Linked DNA regions of Stegostoma tigrinum. The protein of the gene in region 4 purifies or fractionates together with the protein of the main gene of each other region. This does not show direct contact. Links are inferred from orthologs where the notes say so. Each region holds a gene or a part of one and is shown on either strand. Other genes may lie near its edges. The genes, in order: ras-related protein Rab-8B, ras-related protein Rab-7a, rab10 and gdi2.

Region 1 (7,339 bases), on a different chromosome or scaffold from region 4:
ATTTTTCTGGTTTTCACAACAAATTTTTGTTAAGGGTTGTTAAATAAAAAAGTTAATTATGTATAAATAAAGGCAAAAATATAAGATTAACATAGGCACTACTTATAATCAGTGTCTCAGCCATATTAACGACTGCCCTTTAGCCCTGCTCTGCATGCAGATGGTTGGTGGTGGTGAGGGGATGTCCGCTGTTTTGAAAATGCACCTGCAGTTCATTGAAAATGTTTGTTTCGCTTTTTTTTAAAAAGCATCAACTTGATGCAACACTGGAACTACACTACATTCACATCCTGTCTAAAGTCAGGACAAATTTCAGTTCAAATTCACACACAACTTCAGTTATCTGTACAAGCCACAACCACATTGCATGAACATGCTAGAGTTAAATGTAAATGTACCTTAGGAAAAGATCTGAAGTGTGCAGCGAATATACATCATACCTAGCTATAAAGTTCACAGTTGATGTTAGTTTATTCAGTACTCCTAGTAAATATTAAAAGGCTTAACAATATACTGCAGGAGAAACAGTAGGCAAGATAATACAGTAACATATGTTCATTTTGTACTACAATTTTAAATCCATCACCATAAAACACTCACCAGTACCACTACTGGGGCCCCATCTCGACAAACTGACAGGCATTTTTATATTCATTCATGGGACGGGCAATAAATGCTAGACAGCGACACCCTCATTCCATGAACGAATATAAAAATGCCTGTCATCCCATGAGGGTGTCACTATCTAGCATTCATTGCCCATCCCTAATTGCCCAGAGGGCAGTTAAGAGTCTGGAGTCGCATGTAAACTAGACCAGTTCAGGACCTTAGTGATAATGGGAACTGCAGATGCTGGAGAATCCAAGGTAACAAAGTGCGAAGCTGGATGAACACAGCAGATGAAGTCTGACGAAGGGTCTAGGCCCAAAACGTCAGCTTTTGTGCTCCTGAGATGCTGCTTGGCCTGTTGTGTTCATCCAGCTTCACACTTTGTTATCAAGGACCTTAGAGAACCAGTTGGTTTTCTCAGCAATCCACAGTAGATTCACAGTCATCAGGCTCTTAATTCCAGATATTTATTGAATTCAAATTCCACCATCTGCCATGGCAGGAATTGAACCCGGGTCTCCCAGAACATTACCTGGGCCTCTGAATTAATAGTCCAATATTACCAGTAGGCCATTGCCTCCACACTGACCAAGGAATCAACATATGAAAAGATTCTGTAACTATTACACTGCGATCATCTGCTAACATACTCATGTTCTGATTCTAAGCAACCACCAAATCTCTCAAGAGGAAGCACAAATATTTCATTTGAGAAAATCAAAAATGAAAGACCACTTCCGAGAAGCAAATGTCAGTTTTTGTGTTGAAAAAAACAAACAATTTAACTGAGACTTGTATGCAATAGAAAAATGGCATTTTTTCCCAAAAAAGGTGACTGAAGTATTTTTGAATTAGTATAAATTTTCAAAGCTCAGTTGAGACAAGTAGTAATATCTCCACAGGTGTACGAAACAATATTCAATTTGGTTTCAAACATCCTAAGTATGAAGTTTATTTTTGAAACATGCTACAAAATAATATGCTTTTCTGAAAGTAGTTTACTACTGACCAAAGCACTAAAGTATCCACAAATCTGTACAATATTTTAAAACATTTGCAACTTGGGCAAAAAAAACATAACCTGAAACACTGACCTCTAACTTCTAACTCAATTAAATTAGTATTTTTGCTCAATTACATTCCAAAACAAATTTCATTCAGATCTTTACTTCCAAAATTCCAGCAAATATCTGATACTTAATATTCAAGTTTCAAATGTGTCTCAGCAGTAGCTCTCCTGCTCGTACTTTGAAACTGCAGATTCACAGAGTTGTGCCACACAAGAGGTTCTGCTCCACAGAGGCCACCAAGAATCACATAAAGACTCTTTCACCCTATTCAACATCAGGCCAATTTCTGGCATCCCACTGCCTGAACCAAAAGTCTTTTAATTGGGAACTTGCCTTGTTTATAGAGATAGGAGAGAGTGTGGGGTAATAGAAGCAGGGGTTCGGAGGTTGAGGGAGCTGTAGGGAAGAGATGGAAAGGTGGTAGGAAGGAGTAGATTGAGGTGGTTTAGCAGGGAACACGCAAGGGGTCAGAGGGGGTGGAGGGCCATGGGCATCAAGTGGGACAGGGGCAGCTGTGGGGGAGACCTGGGGGTGGAGGCAGGTAAGGGGAAATACAGGAGATGGTAAAATGGGGGGAGGGAAGAAGTGGACAGTCAGAGGGGGAGTGAATAGGGGTGAAAAATGGGGGGGGCGGTAGGGGTGAAAAATGGGGGGGGCGGTAGGGGTGAAAAATGGGGGGGGCGGTGGGGGTGAAAAATGGGGGGGGGGCGGTGGGGGTGAAAAATGGGGGGGGGCGGTGGGGGTGAAAAATGGGGGGGGCGGTGGGGGTGAAAAATGGGGGGGGCGGTGGGGGTGAAAAATGGGGGGGGCGGTGGGGGTGAAAAATGGGGGGGGCGGGGGGGTGAAAAATGGGGGGGGCGGGGGGGGTGAAAAATGGGGGGGGCGGGGGGGTGAAAAATGGGGGGGGCTGGTGGGGGTGAAAAATGGGGGGGGCTGGTGGGGGTGGAAAATGGGGGAATGGGGGGACGGGGGGATAAGATGGGGGTGATGGCGGGGTAGGATGGGGGTGATGGCGGGGTAGGATGGGGATGATGGCGGGGTAGGATGGGGGTGATGGCGGGGTAGGATGGGGGTGGGAGGGGATGAGTTGGGGCGCCCCTAAAGCAAACGGCAGGCCCCGAGATTGGCGCTCTCCCCCCCCCCGATCCCTCCCTCACTGCCGAACTCACCTATGGTGGAGATGAAGGTCGTGTTAAAGGCGTCCTCCGAGAAGCGGAAAAGGAGGCAGGTTTTACCGACGCCGCTGTCGCCGATCAGCAGCAGCTTGAAGAGGTAATCGTACGTCTTGGCCATGGCGGGCGGGAGCTGACTGCAGCCGACGGTGAAACCCAGAACTCTGCGCGTGCGCGGACGCTGGGGGCGGGGCCTCACGCCAATCACATGCTCTACGGCTGATTGGCTTTCGTCCGACGTACGCGGGCGCCGTGCGTGAACGTCAACGCCGCAATGACAACTGGGGATTGTAGTCATTTCTTTCTTCAACTCCTCGTTCCCCAACAGGCGATGGTCTGTAACTACAGATTGTTCTAAATTGGGACAGTTACACTAACGTCAGCAATGTGGACGTGAATCTCATTGATTTCCTGTCTACTCCTCCATGCCCCAAACCACTGCAGTCTCTAAAATAAAGAACTACAGATGCTGGTAATCTGAAACAAAAACAGAAAATTGCTGGAAAAACTCAGCTGGTCTAGCAGCATCTGTAGAGAGAGACAGAATTAAAGTTTGAGTCCAGTAAGCCTACTTCAGAGTGGACTGAAATGTGATCTCTGCTTTCTCTCATTACATTTGCTCCCAGATCTGCTGAATTTTTCCAGTTATTACTTTTAGAATAATTCTTTAATGGGATGTGGGCATCATTGACTGGTTAGCATTTGTTGCCCATCTGTACTTGCTCTTGAATTTAGTGACCTGCTATGTCATTTTCAACATCATTGCTATGTGTCTGGAGTCACATGTAGGCCAGACCAGGTAAGAAGGGCAGATTTCCTTCCCTGTAGGGCATTACTGTACCAAGTAGGTCTTTACAACAATCCTCCACAAGTCTGGGCCCCCTAAGGTAGAGTTCAGCTCCCCAAAATGTAGGATTTAATCACCAAGTAATCTCCCTAACAATTCAGCCTTACTCCATCTGAATTCCCCGGGTATGATAATGTGGGGTAGGTGGTGGCCCAGTGATATTATCGCTAGACTATTAATCCAGACATTCGGATAATGGTCTGGGGACCTGGGATTGAATCTGGCCAAAGCAGATGGTAGAATTTGAATTCAATAATAATCTGGAATTAGGAGTCAAATGATCACCATGAACCCATTACCGATTGTCTAGAAAACCCATCTCATTCTCTAATGTCCTTTAAGTAAGGAAACCTGCCATCCTTACCTGGTCTAGCCAACATGTGACTCCAGACTCACAGCAATGTAGTTGACTCTTAACTGCACCCTGGGCAATTAGGGATGGGAAATAAATGCTGGCCCACCCAGTGATGCCCTCATCCTATGAATGAATTAAAACAAAATAAATTGCACTCTCATGGAATCATCTTAGATTAGTTCACCAGTTTTCAGGCTTGGATTTTTTGCTGGTCCCACCCAACTCTTTGCCACTAGGCCTTTGTATTATAGTACTGCCAAGAACTGAACACTGAGCAACATATATCTGTTTTCCCTTAAGCAATTTTTTTTTGCAGGCTCATTTTCCAGAAATCTACTATCTGAGCCAGGAAATCAGGGCTGCAGGGGCGATTGTACAGTTTGTGTTCTGTCCCAGAAAACCACATGGGGATGAATAGATCTGAACAAATCTTGATGTAATTTTCTGCTTATGTAAAGAAATGCACATTACAAGTTTACACCTCCCTTCCCAACAGTGACACTTTTGGTCTGCATCCAATTATAGTGGACTCAAGTATAGGTCCACCATGAGCAAACCATTACACATATTTAAGATAATCAAATGTGAGGCTGGATGAACACAGCAGGCCAAGCAGCATCTCAGGAGCACAAAAGCTGACGTTTCGGGCCTAGACCCTTCATCAGAGACCTTCATCAGACACATATTTAATATGCTTTGTATCCGGGCTTAAATTCCAGAGAGCTCATAAAGATGGGAGGTGTTCTCATTTTAACATTGAAAGTTCCAATATTCAGCTTTCAGTTCAGGTAAAATACTTTGGATGAAATGCTGTGTCTGAAATATATACGTAAGTTAATGAACATAAACTTTTAAAACATCTGCTAAAGAGATGTTTGTCATTGCGAGAAACTAAAATAACATAGCCAGAAGGATAGGAGATCAAGTTTGACCAAACTTGAAATTTTAGGTGACATTAAACCAAAGTCAATGAGAGAAAATAGAATCAGAGGGAGGTGAGGTGCCCTTTGAGATTCTGGAAAGACCGAGTTAAAATTGTACTTCTGGCTCCTGGTCAAGGAAATGATACGAAATGTTTTAAGTTGTCCTCAAGTTTTGGATACTGGAAAAGCAAGTATAGATAGTGAACTGAGGCTAGTAAACACTGATGTTTTAGGTAGACATAGAGTGAAGGTTGTTCTGTACAATTGCAGAATATCACAGTCTTCTCTATTCCATTGCTTCCCCAGGACTCCTTTGGTTTATTGCTACCAATTTCTGCGAATGAATGGGTGACTGACTGACTGTGTGGCTGAAAGAGTGGATGTGTGAGTGAGTAAGTGAGTGAGTGGCAGTAGATGTATGTAAGTGAGTGAGAGAGAGAATGCAGGCACGAGTGAATGAGTGCGTAAGAGAAACTTGATGTCTGCATTACTCCGACTCTAGTTTCTCATGCATCAACGTCCTTTGATCCATTTTTGTGATTATGTTTTTAGCACATTTTAAGCTCTGGAATTCCATCCCTAAACCTCTCTGCCTCTCTTTCTCCTCCTTTAATGGACAAAACCCTCTTTAAATGCTATCAAAAGCTTTTGACCACCTTAGAATTAGAAATGGAATTAGAATTAACTTTATTGTCACATGTCCTCACATGAGTATAGTGAAAGTTTACAAGTCACCAATTATGGCACCATCTTCAGTACCAAGTACCCAGGTACAGATTATGAAATACAAATTCTTAAGGAAAATTTTAGAAAAATAAAGAAATAAAATGTCCAGCAATAAATAAGAAAAGTAGAGGAATAAGAGGTCAGAATAACAGTCCTTCCAACCCACACCACACCAGGCTTCACCTTGAGGCTGGGAAATCGATTCCGCACTGAGTCCACGTTGAGGCCAGGAGCCTGGGTCCGCGCCGGGGCTGGGCTTCTGGATCCGTGCTGAGGTCATGAGTCTGCACTGGCTTTTACCCTGGATGTCCTTGATGCCACCCAAGAATGCAAGGTGTAAACAGAATGGAAAGAAATGCAAAAATAGTGAGAAAAACAGAAAAGAAGCAGATAGAGTGGATGAGGTCCTGCTCAGGAGTCCTACTCCACTGCCACCCGTCCTGGTATTTGTCACTTTGGCTAATTTCAGCCTGAATACATGCTCATAAAGCAGCATGCAATGCTAACATACATTAAAGTGCTGTATGAATGTCATGTTATTGATAATGATTTAACTGCCAACCAATCATCAAAGATTGATTATATATAACAAAGTGTGAAGCAGGATGAACACAGCAGGCCAAGCAGCATCTTAGGAGCACAAAAGCTGACATTTCGGGTCTAGCCCCTTCATCAGAAAGGGGGGAATGGGGAGAGGATTCTGAAATAAATAGGGAGAGCGGGGGAGACAGACCGAAGATAGATAGAGGAGAAGACAGGTGCAGAGGAGAGTATGGGTGGGGAGGTAGGGAGGGGATAGGTCGGGGGGGTATGGGATGAGGTTAGTAGGTAGGAAATGGAGGTGCGGTTTGAGGTGGGCGGAGGGGATAGGTGAGAGGAAGAACCGGTTAGGAAGGCGGGGACAAGCTGGACTGGTTTTGGGATGCAGTGGGGGGGAGGGAAGATTTTGAAGCTGGTGAAATCCACATTGATACCATTGGGCTGCAGGGTTCCCAAGTGGAATTTGAATTGCTGTTCCTGCAACCTATGGGTGGCATCATTATGGCACTGTAGGAGACCCAGGACGGACATGTCGCTAAAGAATGGCAGGGGGAGTGGGAGGTGCAGTTGTTTATTGCGAACCGAGCGGAGGCGTTCTGCAGAGCGGTCCCCAAGCCTCCGCTTGGTTTCCCCAATGTAGAGGAAGCCACACCGTGTACAGCAGATGCAGTATACCACATTGGCAGATGTGCAGGTGAACATCTGCTTGATGTGGAAAGTCATCTTGGGGCCTGGAATGGAGGTGAGGGAGGAGGTGTGGGGGCAGGGGTAGCAGGTTGCAGGGGAAAGCGCCGGGTGTGGTGGGGTTGGAGGGGAGTGTGGAGCGGTTAAGGGAGTCACAGAGAGAGTGGTCTCTCCGGAAGATAGACAAGGGTGGGGTCGGATTGTGGATGGCGGAACTGTCCGAGGATGATGCGTTGTATCTGGAGGTTGGTGGGGTGGTATGTGAGGGCTGGGAGGATTCTCTTAGGGCAGTTATTGCGAGGGCGGGGTGTGAGGGATGAGGTGCGGGAACTGTGGGAGGCTCGGTTGAGGGCGTTCTCGACCACTGCTGGGAGAGTGTTGCGGCCCTGGAAGAACGAGGACATCTGGGATTG
Region 2 (7,784 bases), on a different chromosome or scaffold from region 4:
ATTTCTTGTGGTTGCAGGAGGAAGTGCCAGGTGTGGTGGGGCTAGAGGGGAGTGTGGACCTGACAAGGGAGTCACAGACAGTGGTCCCCCTGAAAAACAGATCAGAGTAGGGATGGATGAATGTCTTTGGTGCTGGGGGTCAACTGCAGATGGCAGAAGTGGAGGATGATGTGTTGGATTTGGAGCTTGGTGGGGTGGTACATGAGGACAAGGGTGATTCTCTTTTGGCAGTTATTGCAGGGACAGGGTGTGGTGGGGGGATGAGTTACAGGAAACGTGGTCAACAGTGTTAGAGACTACTGCAAGGGGAGGGGGGGTTGCAGTCCTTAAAGGGATCAGGTGTACAGGAGTGGAATGCCTCATCCTGGGAGCAGATGTGGCAGAGGTTTAGGAATTGGGAAAGGGATGGAATTTTTACAGGAAGGTGGTGTATTCTAGGTAGCTGTGGAAGTCAGTGTGCTTGAAATGGATATCAGTTTCTAGGTGATGCCTGAAATGGAGACATAGGTCCAGGAAGATTTTGGGGGGGGGGGGGAAGAAGAGAAGAGAAGGATCAATGTGTTGGAGATGGCCCAGGTGAACTTAAGGTTGGGGTGGAAGGTGTTGGTGAAGTGGATGAACTGTTTGAGCTCCTCAAGGCACAAGGCAGCACCAATGCAGGCAGTCAGTCAGTGTAATGGAGGATGAAGTGGGGTTTAGGGCTAGTGTAGGTACAGAAGAGGGATTGTTCCACATAACCTACAAAGAGGCAGGCATAGCTTGGGCCCATGTGGGTACCCATGGCCACCCCCTTTGTCTGTAGGGGGTGGGAGGAATCAAGAAGTTGAGGGGAGGACAAGTTTGACTAGATGGCGGGGGGGGGGGGGGGAAGAAGGAGGAGGAGAGGAGACTGGTCAGGCCTGTGGGACAGGAAGCAGAGGGCCTTCAGGCCATCTGCATGGGGAATGCCAGTGTACAGGGACTGGACATCCATGGTGAAAGTCAGGTATCCAACTCACTTTCTCATGAAGGGTCTAGGCCCAAAACATCAGTTTGTGCTCCTCAGCCTGCTGTGTTCATCCAGCTCTACACCTTGTCATCTTGTCGTCTCCAGCATCTGCAGTTCCCATTACTGCACTTTCAATATTACAGCTCATTAAGTCCCATGTTGCTCCCTGACCTAAACATTCCAATAACAAAAAGGACCCAGTTCTGAAAAACCCACCAGTAAGCTGAGCAATTGGTCCCTAACTAAAAACACCCTGCCACTAGATTACACAACCTCAAACTTGAGGAAACATTATTCCATAATCTCTTCACAGAAGAGATCCCAGGCAGAGCAGCAATACAGTTACACTTAGTAAACCATACACTTAATCACTGACAATTTCTACATTGGAAAAAGAATCTGAGTAGGTCTAAAGTATTTAGATTGAAAAAGACAAGCTAGCACATGTAAAAAGGAGGAGTCATTTTATCATGTCATAGGATGCAGCACCACATATGCCCAAAGGGGGCAGTTCACAAGAAAACACCCTTGGCAACATCTGAAGTTTATATAAATAAAGTGTTCATGTCTGTTTTTCAGGAGTGCAATGACAAGTCATGTGTTTCATCAGCTGTAAGAATCACGAGGAGCAGGTTTCTTGGACTTCGAGAAAAGCAACAATTTACAAACTCAACCACCCACCACCTCTCTCCCCCAACCCCCCCATTGGACAGAAACTACATCATGATACCTGTTTCACAACAATGCAGTTCACAGTTAGATCATTTGGCTGTCCATCATACAGACAGCTCAGGCAAGTCGCATTTTTAAATGCGCGTTGACGAGAAACTAGATCAAAATAAGACACTACAACTGGAGTGGTGCTGTGGCATTAAGCCTCGTTTGCTCTAGTTAGGAAAGTATTACTGAAGAAACAAGCGTCTTAGAAACCCTATTTTACTCGCAAACAAAAATCAAATCACTCGATTTATTACAGAGCTTCCTGAACAACAAGCCTTGAAACTGGCAAACAATGCCACAACATACTTTTATCTGCAACATTAAATAGAAACATGAAAATTTTAGCGATATTAAAAGTGAAACCAGCTCAAAGAGCTTAGTCACCCCGAAGACTAGAGACAAAGGAGCCAGGTTTGAAGTTTCCACAGGCTCTCCACATATACAACACAGCAGCGACGGCTCAAAACAAGCGTCACTTGTCGTTGGAAGGGGGGGTTAATAGCGTTCTCGAAAGAGCCCAGACAGCTACGTGAAAATCTAGTGTTAGCCCTAGCTTTAGGGAAAGCCGCTCACAACAATATAAAAGATGCATCCCACTGAAATTAAAAAATCCACACAAAATCTAAGCGGAAAAATGCGAAGCCAGCATTTAAAAAACACATTTGAAGAGAACTGAAAGCAAGTGTAACACGTACACCGTGTCATTCAGTAATTATACTGCGTTTTGCGCTGCACAGGTTATTAAATTAGAAAGAGAAAGGAGGGGAACAACTCCCCAGCGGGATGCTAATGTATATTTGATGTAGCACAGATGCTACTTCGCCAGGACTGCCAGGGCCTGAAGGGGTGCGAGTTCCTGTCACTCGCAGGGGTGTTGCCAAGGGGCCCGGGGGCAGTTGCTAGGGCTCACCGCTTTCCCCACACGCTGGGGCATCAAGCACGGGGGGTGTCGTTGCTAGGAAGAGCCCGGGGACGGTTGCTAGGGAAGGGTGCGCGCAGGGCCGGGAGCGCGGCCGCTGGGCGGACCCTGGGCCCTGTGTGTCTCTCTCCGAGATCGAGGCCTCCGTTGTTTCTCTCCTTCCTCCTCTCCCAAAAGCGCTTTACACCCGCGGGCAGAGCGGCCTACCAGTACCCGGCACCGAGTCAGACTCACCTGAAAGGGCAAGGGAGGTTGAGAAAAGTCAGCTGCGCGGCCTACTGCCGGTCTTGCTCGGTAAGTCACTGGCTTGGCTGGGCCGGGCCGCTCCTAGCTGTCGAAGCTTTGCCTCCGACTCCCCGCTTATCACCCGCACCCTGCGTCTGATGTCACCGCGTATTACGTTTCGGCGTATGGCGTCACCCCCGCAGGACCGCCCGCTGCGTGACTGCCATGTGGGGGGTGGGGGCGGGTTCGAGTACGACCAACCTTGCCGGGTCCTAGCGCCTGCCAAACGCGGGACACGTTACTGTTGAGGGGGAGGCTGGGGAGTCGAGTGTGATCTTAAGACAGGTCTTAAGGATTTAAACCATTGAAACGGGCTGGGGAGTGTTGATAGTAAAACAGAGATTTGTGGATGCTAAAGATCCGAAACAGAAACAGTAAGTGTTGGAGAAACTCAGCTGTTCTGGCAGCATTGGAGTCCAGAGAACGTTTTTCAGAACTGAAGTTGCTGAGTTTCTCCAGCAATATCTGTAATTGTTCCAGACTTCCATCATCCGTGGTTCTTTGTTGCATTTTAGGACCTTGATGACCTTAGACAGTTTGGGAGTTAAATTCACACTGATTAGTGCAACACAAAGCAGCTGTCCAGCCAACTGAGCTGAGTGCTGGAGAACCTCAACAGGGCTGGCAGCACTTTTGGAGAGAGAAACGGTGTTAACATTTCAAACCTAGTATGATTTCTTCAGAACTAAAGTAACATTCAAGGTTACAGGCCAAGTGCTGAAAAATGGGATTAGAATTGATTGGTGTTTGATGACCAGTGTGGACGAAATGGGCCCAAGGGCCTCTATCGGTGCTGTCAAAACGCCATTATTCTAGGTTCAGCAAACGGGAAGGCATACGGTATGCTGACCTCCATGGATGAGGATTTTGGTTCAGAAGTACGAATGACTTACAGGGCCTACGTGAGACCACATCTGGAGTATTGAATGCAGTTGTGTCTCCATAACTACTAAAGAATAGCGGGAATGCGCAAAAGGTTCACCAGGCTGATACCAGGGTTAGCAAGTCTGTCCTGTGAGGAGAGATGACTCAACTAGGCCTGTTGTCACTGCAGTTTAGAAAAATGAGAGGGAATCTGATTGCTAAAATTCTAACAGGGCTAGAAAGACCAGATGCAGGGAGAATGTTTCCCCTGTTTGGGGAGTCTAGAACTACAAGCACAGTTTGGGAGTGAGATGGGGAAAAATTTCTTCACTCAAAGAATGGTCAGCCTGTGGAATTTTCTACCACAGAATGCTTTCGAGGCGAATTCAGTGAATATTTCAAGAAAGAGATGGATACATTTTTAGATTTTAAATGCTTCAAAGGATGTGGGGAGAAAGCAGGAACATGGTATTTAGGATCAGCCATGATCATATTAAATGGCAGAGCAGACTTGAAGGGCTGAATGGCTTACTCCTGCTCCTCGTGACCATGCTTTTATCCATCCCTCCCACCCTGGTTATAATCTCTTCCAAGCTTTTCTGTAAGGCAGAAGATACAGAAGTTTAAACACATGTACCAACAGGTTTATGAAAAGCTTCTTCCCTGTTGCTATTTGGCTGCTGCACAGACCTCTCAAGTTTCACATCTAATGTTAATCTTGCTTTTGTACACTTCCTGTGCAACCATAACTGTGTACACCTCCGTGTATTCAATCTCCCTATGATCTGTATGTCTTTGTATGTTATGATCTGCCAGTTCTGCATGCAAAGCAAAACTTCTCACTGTACTTAGGTACATGTGACAGCAATAAATCAGATCGAAGGTTACAGTTGGTGTGTGGAAGAGGGATAAGAAGTGGGACTGGCTAAGGTAATGTAAGGAGAAGCAGGCTTAGAGGGGGATTTGTGAAAAATGCTTTTCACTGAGAGCATGTAGATATCTGGAACTCACTAATGGTCCTGGGCGAAAACCAGAAAAAGGGATTTAGCTGGCTGGCTCCTTTCCCACTTATATCACCTCAAAAGAGACTTCATTGGCTGTAAGTTTTTTTGAGTACTTTAGTGGATGTGAAAGGTGCTGTTTGTTAGGATGTATAAGTTTGTGAATGATTAGAATTGGAATATGGACATGCATGGACATTTCTGGATTACAAAGGATTTATAATGTGACTATTTAGAACTAGGAAGGAAAAGAGCCAACGGAGGCAATGATTCAGCAAAGAACTGCGGACACTAGGGATGTGAAACATACTCAGAAAATGCTGGAGAAACTCAGCAGGCCTGGTGGCATCTTTGATGAGAGAAACAGAGTTAATGTTTCAAATCCAGCGAATCTCCTTCAGCATCTGGGAAAGTGTTACTTATTTTGATGACAGGGCTTGAGTGAGGCTGGCGGGTTCGGCGTGAGCAAGTTGGAAGGAGTGATCGGAGATAATGGGAACTGAAGCCGCAAAACAATCCGACCCCAACACCAAAGACATTTTTCCATCCCCACCCTTGTCTGCCTTCCGGAGAGACCACTCTCTCCATGACTCCCTTGTTCGCTCCACACTGCCCTCCAACCCCACCACACCCGGCACCTTCCCCTGCAACCACAGGAAGTGCTACACTTGCCCCCACACCTCCCCCCTCACCCCTATCCCAGGCCCCAAGATGACATTCCACATTAAGCAGAGGTTTACCTGCACATCTGCCAATGTGTTATACTGTATCCGCTGTACCCGGTGTGGCTTCCTCTACATTGGGGAAACCAAGCAGAGGCTTGGAGACCGCTTTGCAGAACACCTCCGCTCGGTTCGCAACAAACAACTGCACCTCCCAGTCACGAACCATTTCCACTCCCCCTCCCATTCTTTAGATGACATGTCCATCACGGGCCTCCTGCAGTGCCACAATGATGCCACCCGAAGGTTGCAGGAACAGCAACTCATATTCAGCTTGGGAACCCTGCAGCCCAATGGTATCAATGTGGACTTCACCAGCTTCAAAATCTCCCCTTCCCCCACTTCATCCCAAAACTAGCCCAGCTCGTCCCCTCCCCCCACTGCATCCCAAAACCAGACCAGCTTGTCCCCGCCTCCCTAACCTGTTCTTCCTCTCACCTATCCCCTCCTCCCACTTCAAGCCGCACCTCCATTTCCTACTTACTAACCTCATCCCGCCCCCTCGACCTGTCCATCCTCCCCGGACTGACCTACCCCCTCCCTACCTCCCCACCTATACTCTCCTCTCCACCTATCTTCTCCTCTATCCATCTTCAATCCACCTCCCCCTCTCTCCCTATTTATTTCAGAATCCTCTCCCCATCCCCCATCACAAGGAAGAGGTATTAGAAATCCTTCAGAGGGTGAAGATAGATAAGTCCCCTGGGCCGGATGAGATTTATCCTCAGATCCTCTGGGAAGCCAGGGAGGAGATTGCTGAGCCTTTGGCATTGAACTTTAACTCGTGATTGTCTACAGGACTAGTGCCAGATGACTGGAGGATAGCAAATGTGGTTCCCCTGTTCAAGAAGGGGAGTAGAGACAACCCTGGTAATTATAGACCAGTGAGCCTTACGTCAGTTGTTGGTAAAGTGTTGGAAAAGGTTATAAGGGATTGGATTTATAATCATCTAGAAAAGAATAAACTGATTAGGGATAATCAGCACGCTTTTGTGAAGGGAAGGTCGTGCCTCACAAACCTTATTGACTTCTTTGAGAAGGTGACCAAACAGGTAGATGAGATTAAACCGGTTGATGTGACGTACATGGATTTCAGCAAGGCATTCAATAAGGTTCCCCACAATAGGCTATTGTGCAAAATGCGGAGGAATGGAATTGTGGGAGATATAGCAGTTTGGATCAGAAATTGGCTTGCTGAAAGAAGACAGAGGGTAGTAGTTGATGGGAAATGTTCATCCTGGAGATCAGTTACTAGTGGTGTACCACAAGGGTCGGTGTTGGGTCCACTGCTGTTTGTCATTTTTATAAATGACCTGGATGAGGGCGTAGAAGGATGGGTTAATAAATTTGCAGACGACACTAAGGTCGGTGGAGTTGTGGATAGTGACGAAGGATGCTGTAGGTTGCAGAGAGACATAGATAAGCTGCAGAGCTGGGCTGAGAGGTGGCAAATGGAGTTTAATGCAGACAAGTGTGAGGTGATGCACTTTGGTAGGAGTAACCGGAAGGCAAAGTACAGGGCTAATAGTAAGATTCTTGGTGGTGTAGATGAGCAGAGAGATCTCGGTGTCCATGTAGACAGATCCTTGAAAGTTGCCACCCAGGGTGACAGGGCTGTTAAGAAGGCATACAGTGTTTTAGCTTTTATTAATAGAGGGATCGAGTTCCGGAACCAAGAGGTTATGGGAGGGGGAGTGGAAATGGTTCGCAACTGGGAGGTGCAATTGTTTGTTGCGAACCGAGCGGAGGTGTTCTGCACAGCGGTCCCCAAGCCTCCGCTTGGTTTCCCCAATGTAGAGGAGCTGTACAAAACTCTGGTGCAGCCGCACTTGGAGTATTGTGTACAGTTCTGGTCACCGCATTATAAGAAGGATGTGGAAGCTTTGGAAAGGGTGCAGAGGAGATTTACTAGGATGTTGCCTGGTATGGAGGGAAGGTCTTAGGAGGAAAGGCTGAGGGACTTGAGGCTGTTTTCATTAGAGAGAAGAAGGTTGAGAGGTGACTTAATTGAAACATATAAAATAATCAGAGGGTTAGATAGCGTGGATAGGGAGAGCCCTATTCCCAGGATGGTGACAGCGAGCACAAGGGGGCATAGCTTTAATTTGAGGGGTGAAAGATATAGGACAGATGTCAGAGGTAGTTTCTTTACTCAGAGAGTAGTAAGGGAATGGAACGCTTTGCCTGCAACGGTAGTAGATTCGCCATCTTTAGGTACATTTAAGTCGTCATTGGATAAGCATATGGACGTACATGGAATAGTGTAGGCTAGATGGGCTTGTGAT
Region 3 (6,900 bases), on a different chromosome or scaffold from region 4:
TTGGTTCAGAGGTCTCACCATCTTTAATAGTAATTTAAATGACATGAAGAAATCCAAGCTTGCTAGAAAATGGATGGGTATAAGTAAAAATTACAAAGGATATCAATTAATTCAATAGGCAAAACAGTGGCAAATGGACTTCATGTTGGCAAACAAATTTCAACATAGCCTAACATGAACTCTCACTTTTGACCTGTAAACATACTTCATTTTTTTAAAAAATAGTTAAAAGCTAGAAATGACAGATCTAAAGACACTGACAGGTCCAGAAAATAACTAGAAAGGCTAATAGGATGCTGGCCTTCAAATCTAATGCAAACTTCAACACAAAGGAACAGAAGTCATGCTACAGCTATACAAAGCCCTAGTTAAATCACATGTGAGGCACAACAAGCAATCTGGACACTAAACCCCCAAAAAAATTTACTAGCTAAAAGAAACTATTGTTTGATGAGCCTAGGAAGAGGTGGGAGAATCAAAAACTAGAACCAGACCTTTCAGGAATAAAATTAGGAAATATTTTCTCACACAAAAGCTTGCAAATGCTTGAAATTCTCTTCTGCCATTCTAGGTCAATTGTTAATTCTAAATTTAAGACTGAAAGCTTAGGTTAATAAAGTCCAGCAACGGACATAGCACCAGATCCCTGATCAACCATGATTTCATTCAGAGTCCGAAGAGGCACAAGGAGCTAAATAGCAAACTGTGGAAATGATTTATAGTACTTTGTTTGCAACTGACCACACCCACAACCAAATTAACAACTGAGCTATGGTAACTAGACTGTATCCAACAAGAATTTATCACTTCCTCTGATTAGGCCATGTTAGTTAACTGAGAAGTTAAAATGCAAACTATATTTAAATGAAACATATTTATTAAAAAATATAACAACTTGGGAAATTTTCAGCAGCCTTCATATTTATATGTACAGATTCAGAGATTAAATCTCCAGTCATACTATGACTTTTTAGCTACCTGACCTTTTCTCAACCAACTGTCCTAAACAGGTTTAAAAGAAATTAATTGTCAATAAACTAATCCTTTTGTTTAAAATGAAAGCACATTTAAAAACAGGAAGAGAATCAGCAATAAACTACTCAGTCTCTCGAGTCTGCTTAATCACTGAACTAATGATCTCCAGCAATGCAATTTTCCCACAGAATCTTCTTATCCCTTTGTCTTCAACAACCTAAAAATCTACTGACCTCAGTCTCAAACACACTCCAAATAAATCATCACATCCTCTTGGCTAGAGAATTTCAAAGATTCACAACTCAGAGCTAGGAAATCTCACCTCATCTCAGCCCTATCTGGTCTACCTCTTATTCTGAGACTGTGTCACCTGGTTTTAGACAACGTCAGCTGAAAGAAACATCCTTCCTACATTTATCTTGACAAGTTCTTAAAGAACCTTCAATTAAGTCACTTTTCATTCCTTTAAACCTAATGATAATAGGCCTCGTCATTACTTAGACAATCATAAAATCCCAGCAATTAATTTGGCAAATCAGTTTTGTTCTCTCTCTCTCTCACTGGCAAGTACATCCTTCCTTTGGAAGAGACCAGAACTGTACACAATGCTACTCCAGGTGCACTGCCATCAAGATTCCAAAAACTGGCAGCAAAATCTTTTTGGTCCTGAACTAAAATGCTCTCACATTAAGGTCAATATACTACTTGCCTTCCTAACAACGTGCTCTGTGACTTTTGCACATCAGCACTTCCTAGTCTCCCATAATTTTAAGAGATTTTATATTCCATTTACCACGTTTTTATTCATTCACATAGCCTGCCTGAATCTCCCTTTTGCATCTTTCCATCCTCGTCACAATACACATTCCCATCATGTTTTGTAGTATCTGCAAACTTGGAAATGTTACATATAGTCCCCACACCCAAATTCTTGAAACATATGATGAACAATTAGGACCTGGCAATAGAGCACACCAGTGACAACCGCCCAACCTAAGAACAGGCGATTTTTCTGACTGTTTCTCCTTCCCGTAACCAATTTTCGAACCAGAACGCTTTATGTATAGTGCTGTTGTAAAGTAGAAAAACGCTCAAATTAGAAGCCCTAAAACCATTTAAAACGATTTCCAAAAGGCCAAGATACCATTAACCAAGTTTAGCATAAAAACGGCAGCTTGGTTTTAAAATGCAATCGGCGCTTCAGAAAGCAATGACAAACCATACTGGCACAAAACACAGTTTATACACACTAAAAAAAACAAACGAAATGATCCAAATGGTGTTTCTGGACAAATATCAACCTCAGCAGGTTTAACTGCACATCCTGCCACCATGAGCAGAAGAAATGTTGAGGGACACATACGTTTTCAGTTTTTTTCAAAAAACCTAAAACTCCCCCTGGCCGAGGCTTCACTACATTACACTGGACAATCCTGTTATTTATACAACAAAAAAAACTGTAAGATCAGGCGCAAGGCCCAAACTGTGGTTCGGACATCCGCCCAGAGCCCCCACCCAAGACAGCGGCAGCTGAACAGGCCTGGGCCTGGGCCGGAGGCACTGACCGCCCTCTCTCCCTCACTTACCTATTGTGGAGATAAAAGTGGTATTAAAGGCGTCATCCGAGAACCTAAAAAGCACACAGGTTTTCCCCACTCCGGAGTCTCCGATCAGCAGCAACTTGAAGAGTAAATCGTAGGTTTTTTTCGCCATAATCCCTCCCTTCCTTAGGTTGATGAGCTGGGGCGAGGAGTGTTCTTATTTTTATAATTAAAAAAAGGAACAAAATGGCGCCTCTCTAGCTCTTTCACTTTAACAGCGTTCCGGCCGCAACAAGTTAGATGCCATGAATTTCCATTGATCTGCCTTGTTCAAAACAAAATAAAAATTGGCACACGGGCCGGTAACCGTGCCCTTAGTTAAACTTTCTTTTTTCTTTCTCCCTTTCTTTTCACTTCGCTAAGACATTCGGGAGCAGCACCACCAATTTCATTCAACGTCGACGTCAGTCTTCGGACAAACCAAACGCAACCACATGGAGGGCATCCACCCAAAACACTGACACCCCCCCCCCTCAAAACCACTCTCCATCAGTGGAATAGTCCGCCCCGCCCACTCAGAACGAAGCGCCCGTTCATTCTCCAAACCACGGAGGGGTGGGGTCTCCACATGTCAATCATCGATCGACAGCCCGCCCGAATGGATGACGTCATGGGGTGATGAGGATCGCCGGCGCGGCGTCAGGACTGTGTGTTCCTTTGGTGAGATAGCTGACGTTATGTATGTATGTGTATATGTCTGTGTGTTTGTCAATGTACAGGTGTGAGCATGTATATGTGTGAATGCATGTCTGCACGTGTGTGTACGTGTAAATGTGCATGAATGCATGTATATATGTGTGTATGCATGTATATGTGATATATATGCATGAACGTTTACATACATATACATTTCTACATGCATGCATCTGTGTACATGTGTATGTATGTGCATATGTATGCATGCATGTGTGCAAGTGTGTGTGTGTGTGTGTGTGTGTGTGTGTATGTATATAAATGCCACCTAGGTGGATAGAGTTGTTAAGAAGGCGTATGGTGTGTTAGCTTTCATTAACAGAGGGATTGAGTTCAAGAGCCATGAAGTTTTGCTCCAGCTATACAAAAGCCTGGTTCAGCCACATCTGGAGTATTGTGTCCAGTTCTGGTCGCCTCATTACAGGAAAGATGTGGATGCATTCAAAATGTTGCTGAGTAGATTTACCAGAATGTTGCCTGGAATGGAGGGAAGGTCTTACGAGGAAAGGTTGAGAGAGATAGGGCTTTTCTCTTTACAACGACAAAGGACGAGAGGTGACTAGATAGAGGTGTACAAAGTGATCAGAGGTATAATAGAGTAGACAACCAGAGATGTTTTCCTAGGTTGTAAGTAGCTTTTACAAGGGGACACAGTTTTAAGGTGAGTGGAGGTAGATACAGGGGAGACGTCAGAGGTAGGCTCTTTACTCAAAGAGTGGTAGGAGTGTGGAATGCTTACATGCGTGTGTGCAAATGTGTGTGTATTTGTGAATGCGTACATGCGTGTGTGCACATGCATTTGTGTATTTGTGAATGCATACATGCATTTGTGCAAACGCATGTGAGTGTTTGTGAATGCGTGCATGCGTGTGTGCAAACACACGTGTGTGTTTGTGAATGCATATATGCGTGTGTGAATGCGTACATGCATGTGTGTGTGAATGCGTACATGCGTGTGTATGAATGCGTACATGCGCATGTGTGCGTGAATGTGTACATGCGTGTGTGTGAATGCGTACGTGTGTGTGTGAATGCGTACGTGTGTGTGTGAATGCGTACGTGCGTGTGAATGCGTACGTGCGTGTGTGTGTGAATACGTACGTGCGTGTGTGTGTGTGAATGCGTACGTGCGTGTGTGTGTGTGAATGCGTACATGCGTGTGTGTGTGAATGTGTACATGCGTGTGTGTGAATGCGTACGTGTGTGTGAATGCATACGTGCATGTGTGTGTGAATGCATACGTGCGTGTGTGTGAATGCGTACGTGCATGTGTGTGTGAATGCGTACGTGCCTGTGTGAATGCGTACATGCGTGTGTGTGTGAATGTGTACATGCATGTGTGTGAATGCGTACGTGTGTGTGTGAATGCGTACGTGCATGTGTGTGTGTGAATGCGTACGTGTGTGTGTGTGAATGCGTACGTGCGTGCGTGTGTGTGTGTGCGTACGTACGTGTGTGTGTGAATGTGTACATATGTGTGTGTGTGAATGTGTACATATGTGTGTGTGTGAATGCGTACGTACGTGTGTGTGTGAATGCGTACGTGTGTGTGAATGCGTACATGCGTGTGTGCGTGTGTGTGAATGTGTACGTGCGTGTGAGTGCGTACGTGCGTTTGAATGCATACGTGTGTGTGTGAATGCGTATATGCGTGTGTGTGTGTGAATGCGTACGTGTGTGTGAATGCGTACATGCGTGTGTGTGTGTAAATTTGTACATGCATGTGTGTGAATGTGTACGTGTGTGTGTGTATGCGTACATGCGTGTGTGTGTGTGAATGCGTACGTGCGTGTGTGTGAATGCGTACGTGCGTGTGTGTGAATGCGTGCGTGCGTGTGTGTGAATGCGTACGTGTGTGTGAATGCGTACACGTGTGTGTGAATGCGTGTGTGTGTGTGTGAATGTGTACATGCGTGTGTGTGAATGCGTACGTGCGTGTGTGTGAATGCGTATGTGTGTGTGAATGCGTACGTGCGTGTGTGTGAATGCGTACGTGTGTGTGTGAATGCGTACGTGTGTGTGTGAATGCGTACGTGCGTGTGTGTGTGAATGCGTACGTATGTGTGTGTGAATGCGTACATGCGTGTGTATGAATGCGTACATGCGCGTGTGTGCGTGAATGTGTACATGCGTGTGTGTGAATGCGTACGTGTGTGTGTGAATGCGTACGTGTGTGTGTGAATGCGTACGTGCGTGTGTGTGTGTGAATGCGTACGTGCGTGTGTGTGTGTGAATGCGTACGTGCGTGTGTGTGTGTGAATGCGTACATGCGTGTGTGTGTGAATGTGTACATGCGTGTGTGTGAATGCGTACGTGTGTGTGAATGCATACGTGCATGTGTGTGTGAATGCATACGTGCGTGTGTGTGAATGCGTACGTGCATGTGTGTGTGAATGCGTACGTGTGTGTGAATGCGTACATGCGTGTGTGTGAATGCGTACGTGCGTGTGAATGCATACGTGTGTGTGTGAATGCGTATATGCGTGTGTGTGTGTGAATGCGTACGTGTGTGTGAATGCGTACATGCGTGTGTGTGTGTAAATTTGTACATGCATGTGTGTGAATGTGTACGTGTGTGTGTGTATGCGTACATGCGTGTGTGTGTGTGAATGCGTACGTGTGTGTGTGAATGCGTACGTGCGTGTGTGTGAATGCGTACGTGCGTGTGTGTGAATGCGTGCGTGCGTGTGTGTGAATGCGTACGTGTGTGTGAATGCGTGCACGTGTGTGTGAATGCGTGTGTGTGTGTATGTGAATGTGTACATGCGTGTGTGTGAATGCGTACGTGCGTGTGTGTGAATGCGTACGTGTGTGAATGCGTACGTGCGTGTGTGTGAATGCGTACGTGCGTGTGTGTGAATGCGTACGTGCGTGTGTGTGAATGCGTACGTGTGTGTGTGTGAATGCGTACGTGTGTGTGTGAATGCGTACGTGTGTGTGTGAATGCGTACGTGCGTGTGTGTGTGAATGCGTACGTATGTGTGTGTGAATGCGTACATGCGTGTGTATGAATGCGTACATGCGCGTGTGTGCGTGAATGTGTACATGCGTGTGTGTGAATGCGTACGTGTGTGTGTGAATGCGTACGTGTGTGTGTGAATGCGTACGTGCGTGTGTGTGTGTGAATGCGTACGTGCGTGTGTGTGTGTGAATGCGTACGTGCGTGTGTGTGTGTTAATGCGTACATGTGTGTGTGTGTGAATGTGTACATGCGTGTGTGTGAATGCGTACGTGTGTGTGAATGCATACGTGCATGTGTGTGTGAATGCATACGTGCGTGTGTGTGAATGCGTACGTGCATGTGTGTGTGAATGCGTACGTGCCTGTGTGAATGCGTACATGCGTGTGTGTGTGAATGTGTACATGCATGTGTGTGAATGCGTACGTGTGTGTGTGAATGTGTACATGCGTGTGTGTGAATGCGTACGTGTGTGTGAATGCATACGTGCATGTGTGTGTGAATGCATACGTGCGTGTGTGTGAATGCGTACGTGCATGTGTGTGTGAATGCGTACGTGTGTGTGAATGCGTACATGCGTGTGTGCGTGTGTGTGAATACGTACGTGCGTGTGAATGCATACGTGTGTGTGTGAATGCGTATATGCGTGTGTGTGTGTGAATGCGTACGTGT
Region 4 (6,868 bases):
CCCTCTGGGCAAACCGGGATGGGCAATAATTGCTGCCTACCTAGCAATGCCCTCCTCCTGTTAATGAATTTTTAAAAATCCTAAATTAATCTAGTCCTATCTGCCAGCACTTGGCCCATATTCCTCTAAACCCTTCCTACTCATGTACCCATCCAGTTGCCTATTTAACATTGTAATTGCACCAGCCTCCACCACTTCCTCTAGCTGGCGTGCAAATGTTGGTTAACCCAGCAGTATCCTTGGATTTCAACAATAACATGGAGAAGTAAAAAGTAACTTAAACCCACAAAGATCCAAGTTACAAATTAAATCAAACATCTTACCCAGTTTTGCAGATTAACAGAATAATCTATTTATCACAATTTTTTTGGGAGGTTAAGTCACGTTAGAATACAATTGTGAAACCATTTCATACCAATGTGCTCTAACATAATCACTGCAAGTCTCAATTCAAAGCAGAACTGAGAGCTGGGTGGCTCAGACTTCCATAATTAAATCATATCATCGGCACTATTTATTTGCTTGTTATCCAACAGACTGAATCACATTGCTTTTCACTTCCACTTATGACAGATTTACTCGGTGCACGTTGGGTAGTGGCACTGCACAACATTAAGAGCGTTGAATTGGTTACCAGATTTTTGTTAAATATAGTCCTATCTGTTCCACTTTCTTTCCCAGGTGGAAGTCTCAATTCAGTGGCAGCATCCAAAGAGGTCAGGAGTCATGGATCCAAACCCCATTCAGAAGCCAAAAAAGTCTAGGTACACTATAAATGTGAGGATTCTACACTGTCTTTCAAATGAAATATGAAATTCAGACCCATCTGCTGAGAGATGGGTAAGGCGTTGTTTTCTTGATGTCCTAACCAATATATATATATTCCTCAACTAACAAGTTGATTACCATTTGTAGGGTCTTCTAGTGCAAACTGGCAGCTGTGCTTCCCTACATTATCACAGTGACCACATTTCAAAGTGTAATTGGCTGTGATGCACCTTGGGATAATATGAAGTTATAAATAGTGGTATTTAACAGGTTTCTTTTCCTTCTTTCCTATACAAGAGGCCTTGGCTCAGATAACTACTGACTTAATGACCAAGTTAACAAAGGATTGGCAGACAGACATTCTTCACCACGAAAAAGGAGGAACAGCCTAAGATGATAAAATTGAAAGAAAGAAAAAAGTTCCATTTGAGCACAAAGACCTTTTCCAGCTAGACCACAAACTTAAATTTACTTCCACGTCCTGAGCCAAGTCATTTCTTTCACGTTATTCAAGAGAAAAAAAGGGTCTTTTTCAGATTTTATACAGCTGTTTTCAATTACAAAACAGAAGCCAAAACAAGAGAATCAAAGACAAATTAAACAGAAGTTTTTTTAAAGAATTTTGAAAATGTTTTCTATAACATGCAAAGGAAAGGCAGAAGGAACGATAGTTGCAAGGCGAGTATTCAACTGAGGGGAACAAATTGTAAAAGGTGACGTGCAACCTAGATTTTAGGCTTATTTCAGAAAAACAGGTCCAACGTTCTGTTACGTAACTACATCAATTGCTGACCCTCTCCAAACACACTGATCAAAAAAATCTGTATCATGAGAATTTAGTTCATACACAAAACAAGTCATTTCTAGTCTCAATGAAGTGGTAGTATATAATTAACATTGAGTGGCATAGGTAGCACAGTTTTGAGAAGATTTGTAGCTCAGGTTGAGGTTCTGGATGAGAGTTTGCTCACTGAGCTGTAAGGTTGATGACGAAACATCTGAAAACTAACCTTACAGCTCAGCGAGCAAACTCTCATCCATAGGTAGCACATTTACTTGCACAATAGTATCACCCTAGGTGACCAGAAAAAACAAATGGTGATATTGCCCCAATTTGGATTGAGAGAGACTTAAAGACAAATTTACATTATATCTGTTGCCTTTTCTACATTGATAGTGGAGGCCACAAACTTAAAACATGCTGTTGAAGTACCCTTGGTGCTGCTGTACTACATCATATACATAGCACAGACTGTTGAATATTGATGGGATGTTGGTCAAATTAGCTTTGTTCTGGATGATCTCGAGTTCCTCGAGAGTTGTTGGAGAAGCTACACCTATCTAGACAAGGGGGAGTATTTCATCACACTCCTGATACGTGTCTTGCAAGCTGTGGGCAGATCGCTGGGAATCAGGAGGTATTGCCCTGTAAAAGCTTCCAAGCCTTCACAGCGGTCACGGAGAAAGCATTCTAGACATCTTTATAGTGACCAAAACAAGAAAAAATAAAATACATACACCGCTGGACATGCTCAGTATCTGAAAATAGTGTCAGCATTTTAATTGTGGCATTTTCTCCCCCCCCCCACCAGAGCATTTCAGCTGCTGCCGAATAATCGACCATTTTGTTCTGAATTTCAGCAGCCGCAGCACCTTGCTAATGCTGAAAATTATATATTGCTCGGATTTTGTTTTTCATAAGTCAAAGAACTCCCATCGCCAACCACTTTCCCGACCTTAAGCATCAGCAAAGCACAAACTTCCGGTGTCCAAAAGGGAAGAGAAAAACCCGCCAACCTTGCGATAGCAAAAGGATAAAGACTCTCCCGTGGAGGAGAAATAGGTGAGCGAATTCAGTGGGAAAGAAAACTCCTACTCCTACTCCCCTCCCCTACCGGGGACTGGTCCTTTGGCCTAACTCTCTCCATCTCCGTCCTCCTTCCAAACCCAACCCCCTCCTCTCCCTGACTCAGCGAGACGCGGAGATGGGGAGAGGCCCAAGGCCTAGGCAGTCGACCTCACCCCTCGCCGCCCAACGCTCACAAAGCATCGGGCCTCAAAACCAAGAGCAAACTCACCGTGAGACCAGTGCCCAGCACGATCACATCGTATTCCTCATTCATCTTCAGCGATGGCGGTTAGTTCCTTTTGACTTCAGGGAAAGAGACAAGGCGGCGAACTACGATCTGGAACAATCTCTGCTTCGGCTCCTCTTCCCCCGTCCCTGAAGTAGGCGCATGCGCACTACCCGCCCTTTGAAGGGGCGGGAAAAACTACAAGGCGGAGAGCAACGTCAACGCGCATGTGCACAACTCCCCGCCAGCTCGCGACCTCGCCTGAGGGCCGTTCACGCATGCGCGGTGTTTGTGCTGTCGAGGATCGCTCCTGCCCAGAACCGTCAACCACCTCAGCTCCAAATGCAGCATTTTTTTCCGGGTGGGGGAGGGGTGGACAGGGTGTGGTTGCGCAGGCGCAGTGGGGTTCCCGCCGCTGCAGGTTCGCCGTGTGTGGCCGAATGCCTGGCGGTTGGAAGTGACTAGTAGCCACGGAGTACGTCCGCTGCCTCCATCTCCTTAAAGGAAGCGATAAAACCGCAGTCAGACTCCGTCTTTAGGCGAATACAGAAATGTTACCATGGATTTAAAAGTGTGTGGCTCTCCTGCTGTGTTAACTGACTCCCCATTCATCATCTCCACAAGGCAGTTTAGGTCTGTTCTGGAGGACTGTGGGATACTGGAATCGAAACGTCAACTGTTTTCCTTTTTCCACAGATGCTGCCAGGCCTGCTGAGTTTCTCCAGCAATTTCTATTCTTCTTTTAGGAATGCTGTTCACATGGGAGATTCAGGACACTAATTGAGAAGGTATTTGGAATGCTTTGCCGACAGCGAGGAAATTATGATGGAGCTGTACGACGTGATAGGCCACTGCTGGACTAATGGTGGCTGATAAGCTCAGATGTTTAGTGAGTGATGCTAAGAACATCAAAGTATTGGCTTCAGTTCCCACACTGAACAACATTACCAGCATCCATGCCAGACTCACTTTAAATGCCATAACATTCAAGACTTTGGGCCCAGAGCTGGATAGTGGGACCAGAGTATATTTAGCATAGTTTTGGCAATAGCCTCAGTGGGCCTTTTTTCTTCTCAGTCATTCTGTACTGTGCACAGTTCTGGTGACCACATTATAGGAAGATTGCAATCGCACTAGAGCAGGTGCAAAGGAGATTTGCCAGGATAGTGCCTGGGATTCAACTGTGAAGAGAGACACCAGATAAGTTGGGTTGTATTCTTTTGAGCAGAGACAGTTAAAGGGATACCTGATTGAGGTATACGAGTTATGTGGAGCATAGAAAGGGTGCATAGGAAGAAACTTTTCCCTTTGATGGAGGCATCAAAGAATACAAAAGTACGGGCCAAGTAGTGAAATGTGGGAATGGAGTAGATAAGTACTTGATGACTGCTGTAGACATGATAGGCTTAAAAGCCTCTGTCCATGCTGTAAAATCCTTATGACTATACAGGGAAATATGGCCTGTTTGCTTGGTAACCCATCCACCATATTGAGCATCAACTACTTTCACCATTAAGGCTCAGTGCCACTATGTGTATCTTATTTAAGTTTTGTGTTGCAACAATTCACCAAAGCACCTTCCAAGCCTGCATCTCTATCATTTAAAAGGACAAGGGCAGCAGATGTGTGGCAACACCGTTACTTGCAACTTCCCCTCTAAACCACAAACCACTATAATTTGGAGCTGTCATCATCTTTCATTCACCTTTGCTGCAAAATCCTGGAACTTCCTGACCAGCAACATTATGGGTGTACTTACATCCTAAGCAATTCAAAAAGATCACTTACTACCTTATCAAGGGCATTTGGAAATGGACAATATATTTTGGCCTGTCAATGTTGCCCACATTCCATGAAAGAATTAAAAAGAATGCTTATGTTTAATGCAGTTGATGTGGTGTACATGAACATCCAAAAGACATTTGATATAAAGCTGCCCAACAGATTTACAGGCAAAATTGATGTCAGTGGACTATAAAGGGACTGTAGCAATGTGAATACAAAATTAGCAGAGGAAGCAAAGACTAGTAATAAATATTTGTTTCTTGAACTGGAGCAAGTAACATAATGGAGGACCCCAGGAACAGTTATTTTAATTTCTTTAAAATTCATTCACAAGATGAGAGTGTCACTGAGGGCATCAGTGTTTAGACTCTTAGTTTTCCTGGTATACATTAACGATCCAGATCCTGGTGTTTGGGCATAATTTCAATATTTACAGATAACAAAAAATCAGGGAAGTGTTGTGAAGAATCATGTAGAACTTTAAAGGGATGTAAAATCTTCCACATTAGACAGATGTTCACCTGCACATCTGCTAATGTGGTATATTGTATCCGCTGTTCAAGGTGCAGCCTCCATTACATCGGGGAAACCAAGCGGAGGCTTGAGACCGCTTTGTGGAGCACCTATGCTCGGTTTGTGACAAACGACAACTCCCTCTCCCACTCCTTAGATGATACGTCCATCCTGGGCTGCCTCCAATTCCACAACGATGGCACCCGAAGGCTGGAGGAGCAGCACCTCATATGGGAACCCTGCAGCCCAGTGGTCTCAATGTGGACTTCACAAGTCTTCTTCAAAATGTCCCCACCCCTGACCTCATCTGAAGACGGGCCCATCTCGTCACCAACCCAACCCCAACTTCCTACCCACTAGCCTCATCCCTGCCTCCTTGACCTGTCCATCGTCCCTCCCACCTATCCGCCCTTCTCTCCTCATTGACCAACCCCCATCCTAACTCCCTACCTACACGCACCTGTACTGGCTTTATCCCCACCTCCTTGACCTGTCCGTCTTCTCTCCACCTATCCGCTCCTCTATCCACCTTCTATTATCGCCTCCCCCTCTCTCTAGTTATTTCCCCTTCCTTTCTGAAGAAGGGTCCAGACCCAAAACGTCAGCTTTCTGCTCATTTGATGCTGCCTGGCCTACTGTGTTCATCCAACTATACACCTTGTTATCTCAGACTCCAGCATCGGCAGTTCCTGCTACCTCTTTAAAGGGATGTAGTCAGGTTGGTGGATTGGGCTAGCAAATTAGCAGATTAAATTTAATACAGAGAAGTGTGAAGTGATTCATTTTGGTGGGAAGAATGAGGAGAGGCGATATAAACTATAAGGTACAATTCTAAAGGGATGCAGGAACAGAGAAACTTTGCAAAATAGGTGCACAAATTATTGTACATGACAGGAGAAGTTAAAAACCTGGTTATAAGGGCAGAGATAACAAAGTGTGGAGCTGGATGAACACAGCAGGCCAAGTAGCATTTTAGGAGCACAAAAACTGACGATTCGGGCCAAGACCCTTCATCAGAAAAGGGGGATGGGGAGAGGATTCTGAAATAAATAGGGAGCGAGGGGGAGGCAGATCGAAGATGGATAGAGGAGAAGATAGGTGGAGAGGAGAGTATGGGTGGGGAGGTGGGGAGGTGGGGAGGGGATAGGTCAGTCTGGGGAGGATGGACAGGTCAAGGGGGCAGGACGAGGGTAGTGGGTAGGAAATGGAGGTGCGGCCTGAGGTGGGAGGAGAGGAAGCAGGCGGGGATGAGCTGGGCTGGTTTTGGGATGCAGTGTTGGGAGGGGAGATTTTGAAGCTGGTGAAATCCACATTGATACCATTGGGCTGCAGGGTTCCCAAGCGGAATATGAGTTGCTGTTCCTGCAACCTACGGGTGGCATCATTATGGCACTGCAGGAGGCCCAGGATGGACATGTCGTCTAAGGAATGTGACAGGGAGTTGAAATGGTTCGCGACTGGGAGGTGCAGCTGTTTATTGCGAACCGAGCGTAGGTGTGCTGCAAAGCGGTGCCGAAGCCTCCGCTTGGTTTCCCCAATGTAGAGGAAGCCACAACGGGTACAGCAGATGCAGTACACCACGTTGGCGCATGTGCAGGTGAACATCTGCTTGATGTGGAAAGTCATCTAGGGGCCTGGGGTGTGGGTAAAGGAGGAGGTGTGGGGCCAGGTGTCTCACTTCGTGCGATTGCGGGGGAAAGCGCTGGGTGTGGTGGGGTTGGAGGGGA

Evidence for each region.
Region 1: the proteins of gdi2 (region 4) and ras-related protein Rab-8B purify together in Homo sapiens (affinity purification with mass spectrometry; 3 studies listed by BioGRID and IntAct, with this or other methods). This does not show direct contact. The link is inferred for Stegostoma tigrinum from reciprocal best matches to the Homo sapiens genes GDI2 and RAB8B.
Region 2: the proteins of gdi2 (region 4) and ras-related protein Rab-7a purify together in Homo sapiens (affinity purification with mass spectrometry; 3 studies listed by BioGRID and IntAct, with this or other methods). This does not show direct contact. The link is inferred for Stegostoma tigrinum from reciprocal best matches to the Homo sapiens genes GDI2 and RAB7A.
Region 3: the proteins of gdi2 (region 4) and rab10 purify together in Homo sapiens (co-immunoprecipitation; 3 studies listed by BioGRID and IntAct, with this or other methods). This does not show direct contact. The link is inferred for Stegostoma tigrinum from reciprocal best matches to the Homo sapiens genes GDI2 and RAB10.

What each region holds. Positions count from the first base shown.
Region 1 is NC_081389.1:9,828,650-9,835,988, reverse strand, and holds the start of ras-related protein Rab-8B, read right to left. Parts: upstream 3,009-7,339; 5' UTR 2,973-3,008; coding exon 2,849-2,972; intron 1-2,848. UniProt on the Homo sapiens protein: The small GTPases Rab are key regulators of intracellular membrane trafficking, from the formation of transport vesicles to their fusion with membranes.
Region 2 is NC_081364.1:4,089,344-4,097,127, forward strand, and holds the start of ras-related protein Rab-7a, read right to left. Parts: upstream 3,029-7,784; 5' UTR 2,862-3,028; intron 1-2,861.
Region 3 is NC_081357.1:131,665,540-131,672,439, reverse strand, and holds the start of rab10 (ras-related protein Rab-10), read right to left. Parts: upstream 3,006-6,900; 5' UTR 2,689-3,005; coding exon 2,562-2,688; intron 1-2,561. UniProt on the Homo sapiens protein: The small GTPases Rab are key regulators of intracellular membrane trafficking, from the formation of transport vesicles to their fusion with membranes.
Region 4 is NC_081378.1:11,740,245-11,747,112, forward strand, and holds the start of gdi2 (rab GDP dissociation inhibitor beta), read right to left. Parts: upstream 3,024-6,868; 5' UTR 2,892-3,023; coding exon 2,847-2,891; intron 1-2,846. UniProt on the Homo sapiens protein: GDP-dissociation inhibitor preventing the GDP to GTP exchange of most Rab proteins. By keeping these small GTPases in their inactive GDP-bound form regulates intracellular membrane trafficking.